4 linked regions of the Caenorhabditis elegans genome follow. The protein of the gene in region 2 interacts with the protein of the main gene of each other region in a pairwise test. Each region holds a gene or a part of one and is shown on either strand. Other genes may lie near its edges.

Region 1 (4,577 bases), on a different chromosome or scaffold from region 2:
AGCCTCTAAACTACAACGGCAAGCTCAAAAATTACATTCTGCAAAAAAAAACTAATCAACTTTTTTCCAGTTTATGAGTTTTTGAGCTGAAGTGTTTTGTGCCAATCACCAAACAAGACTTGTCCATTTTTTGTTCTGAAATCGATGTTTTAGACTGTATTTCAAGCTTATATGATACACTGTCTTGGGAAAATAGGTTATTGAACCATCTGACTTTGGTTTGACAAAAGCATAAAAGTGACAAAGTCTAATACCTCACAGTTTTGAAACTTTCGTTCAAGACTGTAATAATTATTAATTAGAAATAGCTAACTAGAACCGATATACATAGGTACTTAATTCTATATATCTATATACCTATATAATTATATATATACCGAATTCTATAACACACCATGGAATTTTACCATATATTCCCTTTTTAGTACGTTTATATCTCGGTTGTCTTTGATCATATTTCAAAAATTCAAAATTCAAACGACACAATTTTTTTCAAATCTATCGTTATGCTTTGGTTTTTGAAGGTATCAAAAATATTTTTAAACCGTTGAAATATGAGCCGACAAAGTCGATTGACGGGGGGCCATACTAATAGGGAATGTACGGTATATATAATTTATGTACATATATGTATTATAACGTATGATAACATTCATACACTTCCTTTTTTTGACTAACTCAATTGCATGGAATTTGAATTTAAGACTACACACATTTTCCAAACAATTACTATTTTTCTTCTCTCATATCTCTAATTACTCCGATACTATTCAAAAATTCAATTCCCCATCCCCCCAGAAAACCCCAAAATTACTCCAAATTCCACGCATCCCAAATTCAATTTCCTTTACATGACCCCTTTTCCCCATTCTCCTACCCTTCTGCCTACCAATATGTCGTCAAATTCAATGTCTGCGTACCCGATATATGCGTATGTATTGAATGGAATAACACACCATTTGACGACATTTTCCCCGTTTAAACTAACAACTTTTCAAGGTTGTTTATTGGATTTTGCAGGGTTTTGTATGGGAAAAGTTCAGGATTTTCCTATAAAATCAATATTTCTTTGGAATTTATAATTGTTTAAGTACTGTGATAACTACTTAAATAGAACTTGTTTTATTTGAGTTTGTTAAAATTTAATTTGTTCATAATGTAACCGCTTTAAACGGGGCTTTTTTACTATTATTAAATTTAAAAGTTGACCTATTATAACTTTTTCTCAATAAGAAGTTTCAATTTTCATACTAATTACTACTTCTATACAGTTTTTTTCGATGTTACTTTAAAAAATTGAAAACTTGTCCTTATAAATTAGAATTTTCTGGTTATTCTTATTATTTCTGTTGAAATTGAACTTTAAAACGTTTTCAATTGTTCTTTGAGTTAAAATATTAATTTTTATAACAAAATTTAAAAAAAAAACCGCAGTCTTCAAAAAGCATAAGAAACAAACTGAACTTCATTGCTTTTTCCGCTTCTATTTGTATATACGATTAGCCTCTATTTACCCTGTGATTTTTGATTATTTTCTTTTTGTATATAACAACTTTTATATTCCAGAATGTCAGAGGACCCATCATGGTACAAGACCTCCATGTCAAGTACGTCTTCTTGTATTGAGGAGGAACATGAGCCTGTCGATCAGGATGAGGAAGAGGTTAGTATTTTTGTTTGTTTCTAAAAAAAAAATTAAAGCTTTATACCAAATTCTAACAATTTTTTTGTTGGATATAGCAATATAATGATGTTTTTCAAGTAGTGTCGGAAAATTAAAAAGTTTAGAAAATGAACGTTACCGCTGTAAGCATGTATTTTAATACTGTTGTGACGTCATAAATGTATTTAAATAAGGTAGCTGTTATACCGTCATCACGTACAATTTTAAGAATTTATTTGAGCTTTCACACTACAATATTTCGATACGTTTTCAAAATCAAAGCTATAACTAACTGTAACGCTATGTCCTTTGTTATACGTTACAACGTTTTATTACACACTATAATATAGATTTAGCCTGATTTCAAATGTTATAAATTATACGTTATCAACAAGATTAAAAGGTTAAGGTTATAGTATCATATATTAAAAAAACGTTAAAATTTTAATTGAACGATCATATTAAAACAACGTTTTTACATGTGTAACGAATTATAACGTTAGTTTTTAAAATAAAGGTTATAAAGTATCGTGTAATATTTTTAAAAAAAGTTAAAACGTAACGTTAAGTTAAGGCTATACATAGTATATTTTTCGTAATAAGGTATAACGTTTTAAAGGTGGGGATATTGTCTAAGTACACTTATTATGATCCAAAACGACCAAATATCATAATATAACACAATTTTAGATTTTTCATAATTTCCGGCCTAAGTTTTGGCATATTGCCAAAACTTTGAAAAATCAGAGCTTTTGAAAAAAAGTCCAAAGGTATGCCGCATGTTTCGACCCCTACAATGTTTTAATACGAATAATTAAAACAAGATTACAGAATTAAAAATGTAGAAAAACAATTTTTTTTTGGTCGACTTCCAAAATTATGAGTGGCAAAAACTCAGTAATTGTCACCACTTTTTGACAATAAATAAAAAATTTTCAAAAATTTTTTGAAAAGTTTTATTATGATATTAGATCATTTTGGGACTTTTGGTTTTTAACAACTTCCCCACTGGCACTACTCCACCTTTAAGATGTATGTTTTAACGGTATAACGTATAGGGTTAAAAGCAACTTTAAATTAAGGTTTTTACATAGTTGAACGATTTTGTCCATTTTTGTCGCGATGCTTGTTCCACTAGCAAAAACTGAACATGCTCACACTTTCTTTGAAAACCGCGAAAAATTAATGCCAAAAGATAGAAAACCATTCAAAACGCGTTTACTACCCCTGAAACAAAACGTCTAATAATATGAGAGTCAGGTCAAAAATAAAAGAGACACTTTTCTCATTCTCCTCCCATCCACTTTTTTCTCGTTTTTCAACATAGTGTAAATGAGAAATGTGTGTGTATGAAAAAGAAAAAGAGCCTCTTCTTCTTCTTCTTTCTTCTTCCACACAACTTCCCGAGGGACCCCCTTTTCCCAGTTTTAACCAGACATTGATATCATGCCCTTCTTAGAAGAGAGAGAGAGAGAGAAGACTCTTTTTGTTTCTATTCAACTCGTGTGTCGCTTATTTGACTTTTGATGTCTACTGGTAGCCTAGTTATGAGAAAAATTACAATAGATTTTAGAATTCTTAGGCTGTATGGGTACTGTAATTTATCACCTATAGGAAAAATTGATAGCATTACATATATGGTTTTAAATTACTCATAATTTGGGGTAGATCAAAAAAGAGAAACTTTTTAAATTGGTATCTAACAAATGCTATATCTATATAGTTGATTTATTATTTTCCAAGAAGTTATGAAAAATTAGTCTTTCACCATTTTTGATTCGGCAAAGTTTAGCGGTAATTTACATTCATGAACAACAGTTGCCAAAAATGTTTTTCTGCATCTTATAGTGAATTTTCATATTATTTTATAAGTTTCAGGAATAACAATTTAAAAATTTGTATGTATAGGCAAATACTGTTTGTGGTTTTAGTTTCACCGTTATAAAATAAGTAGTCGTTTTCTTAATATAAAAAATTGGATTTTTTAGGAAATTGATAATAATGGTACGGTTTCTATGTAGTAGCTGCGGTCCAAAACTTTTGACCAGTTTAAAAAGTTAAGCTTACAATTAGCAAATGCTTTTTCTATACTTTGGTTTAGTTGCAACATAATTAACAAAACTAACTGTTTTAAATCTAAAATTACGGCAATTTCTGTGCAGTTTTTCTAAAACCTAAAAATCACCTATTTTTGATTGTTTATAATTAAGTAGCAAGAAAGTGTCCTAGCCAAAAAATAGGAAATTTCTTGCTCTTTCAGACCAGTATACTAACGTCTCTGTACCTACGATATTCATTTCAAAAATCTTTTTCTAAAACCTAAAAATCACCTAATCACCTATATTCCAGATGTACAACCCGAGTGGATGCACGTGGCAACTTCTCTCCGTCTCCTTACACAGAGTATGTTTCTTTTTGTTTATATTTTAAACATTGTCTAATTCCTCCCTGACCATAAACAAAACCCGTTTCCCATTTTTTTTCTCCTACTCGGGTATAAATGATTTATCGTCCATGTATGCAAGGGACAATTGTGTATAGGTATAGGGGTATACATTCCGTTTAGGCAATCTGTATAGAAATTTCCAGGTAAACTCGTTACTTGATACAGGTCGAATGTCAATTACCTGTCAACCTATCTATTTAGCACAGTTACAAATATATGTACATAGAAGAACTATTTTCTGATAGTGAGTCGAAAATTTTGTTATTTATACCTTACTTGAATTATGTGTTGAGTTTCTAAAAAAAACTCCCCTAACTCGGTTAAATTTCGGATTTTCATAAAAATTATCTACTAAATTCTGAGCTTAATTAAAAATTTATTATAATTTCCTAAACTAGGGTGCCAAGCTGTCCTCAGCACACTCTTAACCATGCGAATCCAGTTTAGAAGCCTGCGTCTAAAATCCCG
Region 2 (3,251 bases):
GCAAGAGTTTCGAAAAAATCAATAAATCGAAAAACAAATCTCGACAAACTACGGTAAGCGTAAAAGTTCACAATGAACACAATGCGCATGAATTGACGCGCATGCCGTTTTTTGAGTTTTTTTTTGGTTTTATTAGAATTTCAGCATTTTTTGCAGAAAATTTTAAAAAAAACTATTATAATATTTGAAAAGAAACATTTCAAGTACTGAATCAAGCAAAACAGGAAAAAAATATTACAAAAAACTGTTTGCGCGTCAATTAACATGCATTGTGCGCAACAGCGTACTTTCTCGTCTACCATAGTTTTGCCGATTTTTTATTAATTTTTTTGTGGTTTTTAACGAAAATTCTTGTGAGTTGAAATGTATTCTATGATAGAGAAATACAGAAATTAACGAAAAACCTGAAAAGCACACTTTCTGAATCACTGAAAAAGATTCTTTACGTTGGAAATTCAGAACACAAAGAAATATACCGGCTGTTTAAAAACCATATTTTTAATTTCAAAAAAATCTAAACTTTTTCAACATTCATCAACAAAAATAAACAGAACAGTAACAAAATAACAAGTAACAAATTAACAATATTCAAATTGAGAACTTCATCCACGAAGTCTGAGAATTAAACGGAGAGTAGCCTCATTATAGATGTTATAGGCAATCAAAGTACGGTCATCCTCGAGCTGCGATCCTTGATAAATAAGACGCTGTTGATCTGGTGGAATACCTTCCTTATCCTGAATCTTGAGCTTCAAGGTCTCAACAGTATCCGTATTCTAGATTGAAATGGTGATTGTCTTTCCGGTATAGGTTTTCACAAAAACGTCAATTTCTTTTTCTATAGAAACTTCCAAACGAAGAGTACTGCCGTTTTCGAAACTGTTGTCAAAAAGAGTGCTATGATCGCTAAACAAATCTAGGTCCCAGTTTTCTGTAAAAATTAAAGAAATTAGACATATCTTTCAATATTTAAAGTACAAACCCAATAATAGTTTTTGCGTATTTGGGAGGATTCTTAGTTTTTCCCAAATTTTAGCCTTGACACTTGCCATGGTATCGGAGGCGGAAGTGTCAAGTGTGCATGTTCTTCCAGCGTTCTCAACGTAAATTCGGATTCCTTCATGATGCAGTTCTTGCTGAGTCTCGGCAACCTTGACATTCAGATTTCCGATGACCTCCGATGATTCGACACTGATGGGATCTTCGGTCACTTCTTCTGATTCACGAAGCGGTGCTTGCTGAGCCTCTTGAATTTTGACATCTTGGACAGTGTCCTCCATTTCAATGATTTGATTTCCGGTACCTTTGTCTGAAAATGATTTTTTTAATGCAAAACCCAGAAAAAAACAATAAATACCGTAAGAGACAGTGAAAACGACTCCCTGTTTGTCGCGAACTTCAGTTTTCACACTTTTCGGCGCTTCCACTGTGATGTTTTTTCCAGTCGACGTTTTGATGGAGAGCAGCATGATTTTAGCTGGAAAAATTTATAAATTAAATATTATTGAGAGTTTTGCAACAGAAAAACGAGGACAACGGTGAAAAAAGAAGCAAACAAGGGAGAAATCTGGTTTTTGGATAATTTCGAAATGATTTTTCTTAAAAATATGAATAGAATGAATTAATAAATATTATTATCAAGATTTTGATGAATTACGGGCAAAAAGCAAGCTATAAAGAAGAATTGCGTTGAAAAAGTCAATAAATCGAAAAACAAATATTGCAAAACTACGGTAAGCAAAAAAAGTTCACAATGCACAAAGAACACTTTAATTGACGCGCAAATTTTATTGAAATTTCATTTATATTAAAAAACTTTTTTCTAAGTTTTCGATGAAAACATTTCGAGTACTGAATCAAGAAAAACGGAAAAGTCAATTATTTAATGTGTATCGTGTGCAACTGCCTACTTCCTCGTCTACCGTAGTTTCGCTGATTTTTTATTAAATTCTTTGTGGTTTTTTAAATAATAGAAATTCTAATTGAAGAAACATGTGCCAACAGAAATTCTAGCGGGTTGAATAATGCTAAATTGAATTAAATTCGAGTATTTCAAAATATCAGCCTGAAGTATCCAAAAACCTGAAAAACCAATTTTCTGAACCATCGAAATAAAATGTTTAAGTCGGAAATTCAGAACACAGAAGAATTTACTGGAAAAAAACCCTCATATATCATAAATATGGTACCTGTAATATTTTGAGACAGTGTTTTTAATTTAAAAATTAAAAAAAAAACCTTCAACATTTATCAACAATAAAAAACAAAAAAGTAACAAAACAACAGATTAAGAGCAATCAAATTGAGAACTTCACAACCGATGTCTGGAGACTAAATGGATAATATCCTCATCACGAATGTTATAGGCGAACAGAGCACGGTCATTCTCGAGCTGTGCCCGACCGAAAATGAGACGCTGCTGATCTGGTGGAACACCGTGTTTATTCTGAACCTTGAACTTCAATGTCTCAACAGTATCCGTATTCTTGATTGAAATAGGAATCGTCTTTCCGAATAAGGTTTTCACAGAAACCGTCAGTTTTTCTTTTACAGGAACTTCCAAACGGAGAGTACTGCCGTTTTTGATGTTGTAGTCAGAAATAGTACGTTGATCCTTGCACAAAACAATGTTGGAAGGTTCTGTAAAAACTAAAGAAATTAGACAAGCTATCAGTTTCAAAGTACTAACCCAAATATAGTTTCTGCAGATTTGATGGAAAACCTCGTTTTTCCTAGATTTTAGCCTTAACACTTGCAATGGTATCGGAGGCAGCAGTGTCAAGAGTGATCGTTTTTTCACAAGTTTTAACGTAAATTCGCATTCCTTCACGATGCGGTTTTCGCTGAGCCTCGGCAACCTTGAAATTAAGATCCTTGATGGCGTCCGATGCTTCAACAGTGATTGGATCTCCGGTTACTTCTCCTGAAAAAATAAACATATATTGAAATAAAAACCAAAAAAAAAATCGATAAATACCGTAAGAGACTGTGAAAACGACTCCCTGTTTGTCGCGAACTTCAGTTTTCACATTTTTCGGCGCCTCCACTGTGATGGTTTTTCCAGTCGACGTTTTGACGGAGAGCAGCATGGTTTTAGCTGGAAAAGTTGAATTTATTGAGAGTATTGCAACAAAAAACAGTGAAAAAAGAGTAACAATCCACAGAAATTTGATCTTCGGGAAGTTTTGAACTTATTCTGTTGAATAAAAAAAATATAGCACTTAAACTAATTTGTTTCATTTAAATTTCGA
Region 3 (3,531 bases), on a different chromosome or scaffold from region 2:
TTAGTGCTCCCAAAATTTTGGGAACATTTTGATGGTACCAGTTCATATATATCATAGTTGTATTGAAAAATAATGGGATCTTCTCGATGAAGAGATGTAGAAGTGTTTTCCCCTCTTGTTTTTCTTATAAATGCCGAGTTCTCGTAAAATAGTATACTCCTTTGGGGTTGGGGCACTATGTGTTTTGTGACTTGAATATTTGTCTGCTATGGTAACTCCGTTTTTGCAAAGGAACACACTGAAAAGGGTCGAAAAAGTCCTCCATGTGTGATAGCGTCATTGAGCAGACTTGAGGTGGGTGTTATCTGTATTCTCCAGGGTCTGATTCATAAACAGCACCTGTATTAATTTTCAAACAACGTTTTACTCCTACTACATTGGTTTTTCGTGTCAGGACCCAATGTTTTATATGCAGTAGGTTATCGTGAAACCTATAGACTTTGATAAGTTAATTCAAAAAACTTTAAAAAAATTTAATTTTTAAGTACTCGAAATTTTGATAGCTCATTTTTTGAAAATGGTTTCACAGTTGAGTTTTGCTTTTTGAAACAATAGTTATTTGAAACAAGTTTTATTAGTATTGCAAAATTAATTTAACACAAAAAAATCCGAAAGTTTTATTGTTTCCCATTTCCACTGACGAATGGATTTAGTTCGGCCCGTTTATTCAAATACAGTCTCATATTGGGCCGCTCTGCAAATCGTCCATGAAATCTTTTCAGTGCTGGGGTGCCATTTAGAGCAGTTGGTGTGAGGATGAGGTGAATATCGAGAAGCTCGAATAGAGCATAATCTGCATAGCTCAGCTTGTCCCCGGACACAAAGTTTTCGCCGTTGTTAAATGTGCAGAACAACTTCTCAATTCGTAGTAGCTCCCCGGGAAGAGTTTCAGTTATGTATGCTTCTTTGCCATCTTCGTAGTCTGTCTTGATCATTGTGAAATATTTGGTGCGTAGATCGCGGAGCCCTTCGGAGAACATATCGATGAATGAGGTCTCTGATTCAGTGGAGCCATTGAGTCCTGAGAAATTTTAGATGTTGTTTTTTTTTCTTTTTGTATTGAATTTTAAATAAGATTTGCAAAATGTTAACTCAACAGCCGGGAAAACAATTGTTAATATATTTTTCGTTATTTTCTCCAACTGATATTTTGAGATCAAAAAAAAATTGTAATCAAAAACGCATTAAGTCAGCCTAGAAGAGCTAACTATAAAGCCAAAAGTTTAAAACAATTTATTGACTAATTTGACGACGTTTAGAATTGCTCCAAAAGACTACTTTTAGATAATTTTTATACGATTTCGGATGTATACATTCTGCAAGTTTTTTTGAAAATTTTTATTTTGAGAAAATCAAAAAAATTTTCACTCAAAAAAAACGATTTTTTCAAAACAAAACATTTATCAAAACAATTAATAAGCAATTTGACAGGCTTTTTCTTTTTCATCAATTCGAATGAATTTTTTATTTCAAAACTGTAAATTTTCTGATTGCTCACCATAAATCCGTCCAAGATGACGAAGAATCGCTGCTGACTGGACAATCGTTTCAGTTCCGATATGAAGACACGGCAATTGAGCGAAAATCTGGAAAATTCTACTTTTATAGTTTCAAAAATTATGAATCACCATGGTTGACTTCATTTCGGCCCACTCTTCTCGGCTGATACGGTTATCTTCAAATGGGATTTCCTGGTCATTGAGCAAGAGCCGAATGGGCTCCGCGAGCCCACGAATGTCAAAGTATGTGAGCTTGAGTGTCATCGAAGTGGTCTATAAATTAGAAAAACCAAATTAGAAAAACGTAAATTTTATGATTCCGGTAAATTTGAAAAAATAAAACTTTTGAGAATTTGGGAAAACATAAATGCAAAAATATTATAATAGAGGGCAACTATACGAATTCATACATGTGTTGTTGTATTTTCGGCAATAAAAACCGAAAATATAATCGGGTTAGGGGTGTGACGCGATTGTGAACTGTAAATTAGTAAGGTTTATGTGTTGATTTTAAATTTCTATACGGTTTTTTCCTGTAATTGATCAAAAATAATCCCATCGACAAGAATTCTCCAAACTTGACAAAATAATTTTCTAGAACTATCATCCCAACTCAAACTTAACGACATTGTTATAAAAGTGCTAAGTTGTTCAAAAAGTTACAGTACTAAATTGAGAATAATTTGTTTTTAAAAACCAAAAAAAAACGAAGAAAGTGTAAGCTGTCTGCAAACTTGGTAAGAAAAGAGGGACACGTTGAAAATGTCCGCAGGCTATTGAAAAAATCTATAAAGCAAACATGTATTTCGAGAAATGCAAATAAAACTCTTTCACATTGATTAAAAAAGAACGTTGCGAAAAATATTTATGGAAAAAAATAAGAAATTTTATAACAACTTGGACAACACTTTTCCTCAAACTTTCAATAAACTTGAGCTGAATTATCCACGTTGGGTCGGACAGTCGATGTTCCAGAATAAAAGTATTTGATTGGCATTTTCACAGTGCGAAAAAGCTTGTTCCGGTAGTTGGGTAGGAGGAAAATGATAGCAAGTGGATCTAGAACAGGGAACGCTGACAGTGCAATGACGCCCAAATAATTGTTCCACATTCCGAGATCCAATCCGATTACAGGACCGTACCAGGCCATCATGCAAGGGGAGAAGCTGATGCAGATCGGGATGAAAGTCTGAAAATGTTTAGTTAAACAATTTTTTTCTGAACTCTTTAAAAACATGTATACCTGAACTGCAAGGGCTTTGAATAACTGTCTATGCAATTTCTGAGTCGTTGCAGAAACCCCTGGATTATCCGCCAGCTTTTTCATAATCTTCCATCCAAGAATAACGTATAGAGAAATTGCATATATCGAAATTCCAGTCAGCAGCAGAATTCCAATCCAGCTTCTTCTTTTGATCTCGGGACTTGCATCCTAAAATTTTAAGGGGTTAGTGTTGGTTCTTTGCTCTTTTCGAGCCTCACGAAAAACAATGCCATTAGCATGGATAAATCATGTGAATCCACATGGTAATCTTTTTGAAAAGCGTCATAGATGTAGTCGAACACTTCTTGATCTCCATAGAGACACATCTCGCAGACAGAACTCCAAGCTATTCCGTGAAAAACAAAAAATACAAAGAGACCAAATAGCCCGGACGGCCGGAGAAGTCGATCGATTATTCGGGTGCTATAATTTTTAAATTTTCGGATTTACGTGAAAAATAAAAATAAAACTCACTTAAATAGCACAAGATACCGATAGATAAAGTGAATGACAAGGATTCCATATGAAAGAGAAATACACCCACATCGAATTGAGACAGCTAGTTGGCCAAGCTTCCCAGTCTGAAGTTCAATCATTTGGTGTGTAGAGCTTTCAAACTCACCCCAAAAAATGGTCCGTCAGCTAGGTAAATCACAAAAGCTGCCCCAGTACCATGAATTGCTACGGGAACGATTAGCTCTACAGTTGAGTAAGCCATATCAAAAATTGCAAACCCTATCAAAAGATATCGATACTTCCCGATCGAAG
Region 4 (3,842 bases), 4.6 Mb from region 2:
CTATATCCCTCCGAATCAAGTGAAAATGAGAGCCAGTATGCATCCAGAAATGACAGATACACACTCTCATCCATTGCCTTTTTCCAATTCTCAGTCATATTTTGGCGAGTGAGAGCGGCGGGCGGACACGGACACGGACAACCAGACGCACAGAGTCGGTACCAAGCAGCACCGGCCGTCTCGTACGTCTCTCTGTCCGTGCACAGTGAGAGACAGGAAGAAAAACTAGTGGAAATAGTGAGTAGGACATAGAGACGCAGACGTTTGCTAGATGAACATTTGCAACTCTGTGAGACAACTAGGAGCAAGAAAAAACGGACGATGATGTGAGACTAGAAATGTTTCAAATAATGTGTAAAAGCTGTAGGTTTTAGATTCATGAGGGTTTCGAGGAGAAACCAATCTGGCATTCAACAATAAATAGAATTAGGCCTGCCTTTTTCAAATCACAGGTTGAAGGACCGTAAATATTTGTGTCTCTAGGCATAGGTTAGGGATGGATAGAACGGTAAACAACCAAACAAACACTTTTTGAAAACTTTATTTCGAACACTTTTCTCAAGTTAAGATCCCACACGTTTTGGAGTCATTTTCAGGGGCTTCGGAGACGGAATGTACGGGATGCGAACTTCTGGGGCAGGATCCGATGGCAAGGTGGCTGGAACTGGAGCAGGGGCTGATGCGGCGGTTGTTTTGATGATGCATGGAGGATTCTTGCACGGTTTCTTGTAGAAATCTTTGTTTGCCTTCATAATCTCCAAAACATCAGGAGGAAGAAGCTGCAAAGAAGAAAATAAAAACATGTTTTGGTAAATGAAATGATAAGAGGAAATGGGTTCAAACTGACCACATCAAACTGCTTGTTGGCTTTTCCTTGGGGTGGTTTTGGAGGAGGAAGCATCACTGAATTTCCAGATTTCTTCACTCCAGCAGGTGTGCTCTGTGCACCATCGGGAGGCGGTGGAGCAGGACCAAGTGGATCAGTAGTTGTGGATCTTTCCAATGTAAGACGGACCGTTTTTGTGTTGTTGACACTCGCGTAGAGAAGCTGAAAGTAAGTTAATTACTAAAATAAAATAAGAAAAATACTACAATACCTTTCTAGCAGAGTCACGATCAAGAACATAAATGTCATTAACTTTAACAAGAATATCTCCATCCTTGACATAGTGACACGCATTGGAAGCCGATTGAACCATTGAAATAGTCACAGTTTTTGGATCAACTGCCATCTGTAAATCATCCATGAAAGTATAAATTGTCCCTGATTACTAACTCTATGAATGATAATCCCTGTTGCAGCACCTCCACGATAAGTGAAAGTCAACTCAACCATTTGAGTATTTGGACGACGTGGTGGCATTGGTTTTTCAGTGACAAGGCAATGATCGTCTCGCATGAATTCAATTGTCACTTTTCCGGGAAGTTTTGCACTAATTGCACGGATAAAGTCAGCAGTTGTCTTGATGTTCTGGAAATGTTTGATTAGTTGAAACGGAAAATCTTAAAATATTCCTTACAGTTTCTCCATTGACATTCAGAATCTCATCACCAGCAAATAGAACACCCATCAGTTGGCTACTCACATCCACATATGTAATCTGCAATGTGATTATTCAAGATCTCTTCGATTTTTGAATTGAAAATGAGTCTTTTTACAGCCTCGAAGGAAATTGCAACCGGACTTCTTATTTATTAAAGAGTGTTCTACTGTTCTACACATCAGGGCTTTTGAAGTTTTATTCGGCTCTCGACGCGAGCCCTGTGTTGGATTCTTTATTTACCTTTCCATTGACCACATCACATGCTACAACCACATTTTTCCGTTCGAATTGTACTTCTTCTTTTCCTTTTACATGAAAACTATTGTTGTTGGTTGCCATCTGTAAATAGTACGTGTCTATCTCACAGCAACCCACTCTCGCGTCTCCTGTAACTAGTCGAGCGTCTATGCCTTTGGACCCAGCGCACTCGCTGGCCTCCTTAGCTCAGTTGGTAGAGCGTGAGACTTTTAATCTTAAGGTCAGGGGTTCGAGTCCCCTAGGTGGCTTGATTTTTTGCAGTCTGAATATTAACTTACCCCGAATAGATTGATGCGAAGATGAAAGCAACTGTCGACAAGGAAATATTTGAAACTGATTCAGTTTCTCTTTTCACTTTTTATTTTCTGATTTTTTTCTGTGTAAAACGAATTCAAACGATGTCACGCGGGTATATTTATTAAATTAATTAAATTATTTATTATTAATTAAAATTATTATATTTTGATGAGATCAATGGAATGGAACAATCCAATCAGCGTTGTCTTCTGCTTTTGTCACTTTCTTTTCACTTCCTCTTACAAACTTTGAAAGTCTTGAACGAATTGTATTCAGATCTTTGCTGTATGTTGGGGCGCTGAAATTAATTAATATTAGATTATTTTCTCCTGATTTGAGTAATTCACCTATGAGCTCTAGCTTCGGACGTTGTGTCATTATCAGATTCTTCAGTTTGAACAGTTTCCATAGCTTTTTCAGCTGGTTTCATAGTTGTAGTTGTGATTCCAAGAAGACGTTGGAAACTTGGTGGCATTGTCAATGCAGGCATTGTTGGCATTCCAGGAATTGGAGTGAAAGTTGGGAAAGTATGTGGAGCAAGAGTTGGAAGAGTTGGAAGGCCTTCTGCAGACAGGACTGGTACAGGTACTGGAATGAATTGTGGAAGTGGAAGAAGTGGTGGAAGAAGTGGAAGTGTCATTGGAAGTGGTTTAGCTGGAGCTCTTTTCACTGAACGATTAGCTTTTTGAGCTGGAAGTGTAACAACTGCTGGAGCACGTCGGATTCCTGTAGAAGCTGGACGAAGAGATTTAGCAAAAGGAGCATATGCCGATAATGATGGGAGGGGTGATCTGAAGAATAGATTAAAGAAAAAATGGAATAAATGTTAAACCTTCGAACATCTCCTCTCGGTCTTAAAGCACTTGCTCTCGGTACAACTTCATAACATGCAACGAATCCTGAAATGTTGAAATTAATTGAATTTTGAAGTCAAATATATTGATCAACTGAAAATTATATAGAAGCAATTTTTCTGGACTGGTTTTTTTTGCGATTTCGTGCAAGACGAAGAAAATATGAGAATCGAAATTTGGTTATTTATAGAACGTTTCAATTTATTGACGTACAAGCAGAATTCATATTGGGTAAAATTGTTATGACTAAGAAGTTTTGGATATGTCAAATAAATTAGTTATGTATTTTTCTTAATATTTTTTAAAACAAATTTGAACATATTTTAACCCAATTAGATAAATATTTCCTTTACCATTTAGAGCTAAATTTAGGGATAAATCAACGAAACAATCGAAAAACTAACCGATGACACAAACAGCTAACAGAAGAAGCTTCATTGTTGATTCTTTCCACAAAAATGAGAAGACGAAAAAGATAGAATAAGCCTCGAAGGCGTCGCTTCTTATCACTTTTCTTCCTACGATTTCTCGTTTTGCCCTTATCAATTAGCCATCATTTTGTGGAAATCTCAATGAAAATTCCCGTTGAAAATGAAAAAAGACAATGGATATCCACCACTTGTACACTGTCTTCAATAAGATGAAAGTTCAGCTAACATTAGTTTTTACAAACAGGGATATATTGGATTATCGTGATATTGAACTTGCTAGATTTTTATTTAATTCTATGTTGTTCAGAACATTAGTGTTCGCTGTCAATTTTTAACATATACTTTGTAAAGTATCCCACTTGTGACATGGTTTTACAACAATGCTATGCAAATTTGAGGACACTCAAATAATGGGCGGGACATAGATGATACTCGAGGTGGTACTGTTATAATCGTAC

Evidence for each region.
Region 1: the proteins of F52C6.3 (region 2) and zoo-1 interact in a two-hybrid assay, tested with the Caenorhabditis elegans proteins (one large-scale study listed by BioGRID).
Region 3: the proteins of F52C6.3 (region 2) and gst-23 interact in a two-hybrid assay, tested with the Caenorhabditis elegans proteins (one large-scale study listed by BioGRID).
Region 4: the proteins of F52C6.3 (region 2) and mpz-3 interact in a two-hybrid assay, tested with the Caenorhabditis elegans proteins (one large-scale study listed by BioGRID).

What each region holds. Positions count from the first base shown.
Region 1 is NC_003279.8:14,527,965-14,532,541, forward strand, and holds the start of zoo-1 (Tight junction protein ZO-1), read left to right. Parts: upstream 1-1,564; 5' UTR 1,565-1,567; coding exon 1,568-1,663; intron 1,664-2,967; exon of another isoform or gene 2,968-3,016; intron 3,017-4,012; coding exon 4,013-4,066; intron 4,067-4,577.
Region 2 is NC_003280.10:1,922,985-1,926,235, reverse strand, and holds F52C6.3 (Ubiquitin-like domain-containing protein), read right to left. Parts: upstream 1,478-3,251; 5' UTR 1,470-1,477; coding exon 1,358-1,469; intron 1,310-1,357; coding exon 983-1,309; intron 932-982; coding exon 777-931; 3' UTR 516-776; downstream 1-515. Other genes in the region: F52C6.4 (Ubiquitin-like domain-containing protein), read right to left, coding at 2,733-2,923, 2,978-3,089.
Region 3 is NC_003283.11:3,241,527-3,245,057, reverse strand, and holds gst-23 (Glutathione S-transferase), read right to left. Parts: upstream 1,775-3,531; 5' UTR 1,764-1,774; coding exon 1,629-1,763; intron 1,587-1,628; coding exon 1,499-1,586; intron 1,022-1,498; coding exon 618-1,021; 3' UTR 556-617; downstream 1-555. Other genes in the region: srj-7 (Serpentine Receptor, class J), read right to left, coding at 1-55; srj-11 (Serpentine Receptor, class J), read right to left, coding at 2,422-2,688, 2,743-2,931, 2,982-3,186, 3,238-3,344, 3,386-3,531.
Region 4 is NC_003280.10:6,563,271-6,567,112, forward strand, and holds mpz-3 (PDZ domain-containing protein), read right to left. Parts: upstream 2,127-3,842; 5' UTR 2,081-2,126; intron 2,051-2,080; exon of another isoform or gene 1,978-2,050; intron 1,884-1,977; coding exon 1,785-1,883; intron 1,602-1,784; coding exon 1,521-1,601; intron 1,472-1,520; coding exon 1,277-1,471; intron 1,233-1,276; coding exon 1,098-1,232; intron 1,049-1,097; coding exon 848-1,048; intron 780-847; coding exon 564-779; 3' UTR 524-563; downstream 1-523. Other genes in the region: F18C5.5 (Vegetative cell wall protein gp1-like), read right to left, coding at 2,274-2,397, 2,447-2,890, 2,932-2,998, 3,358-3,391.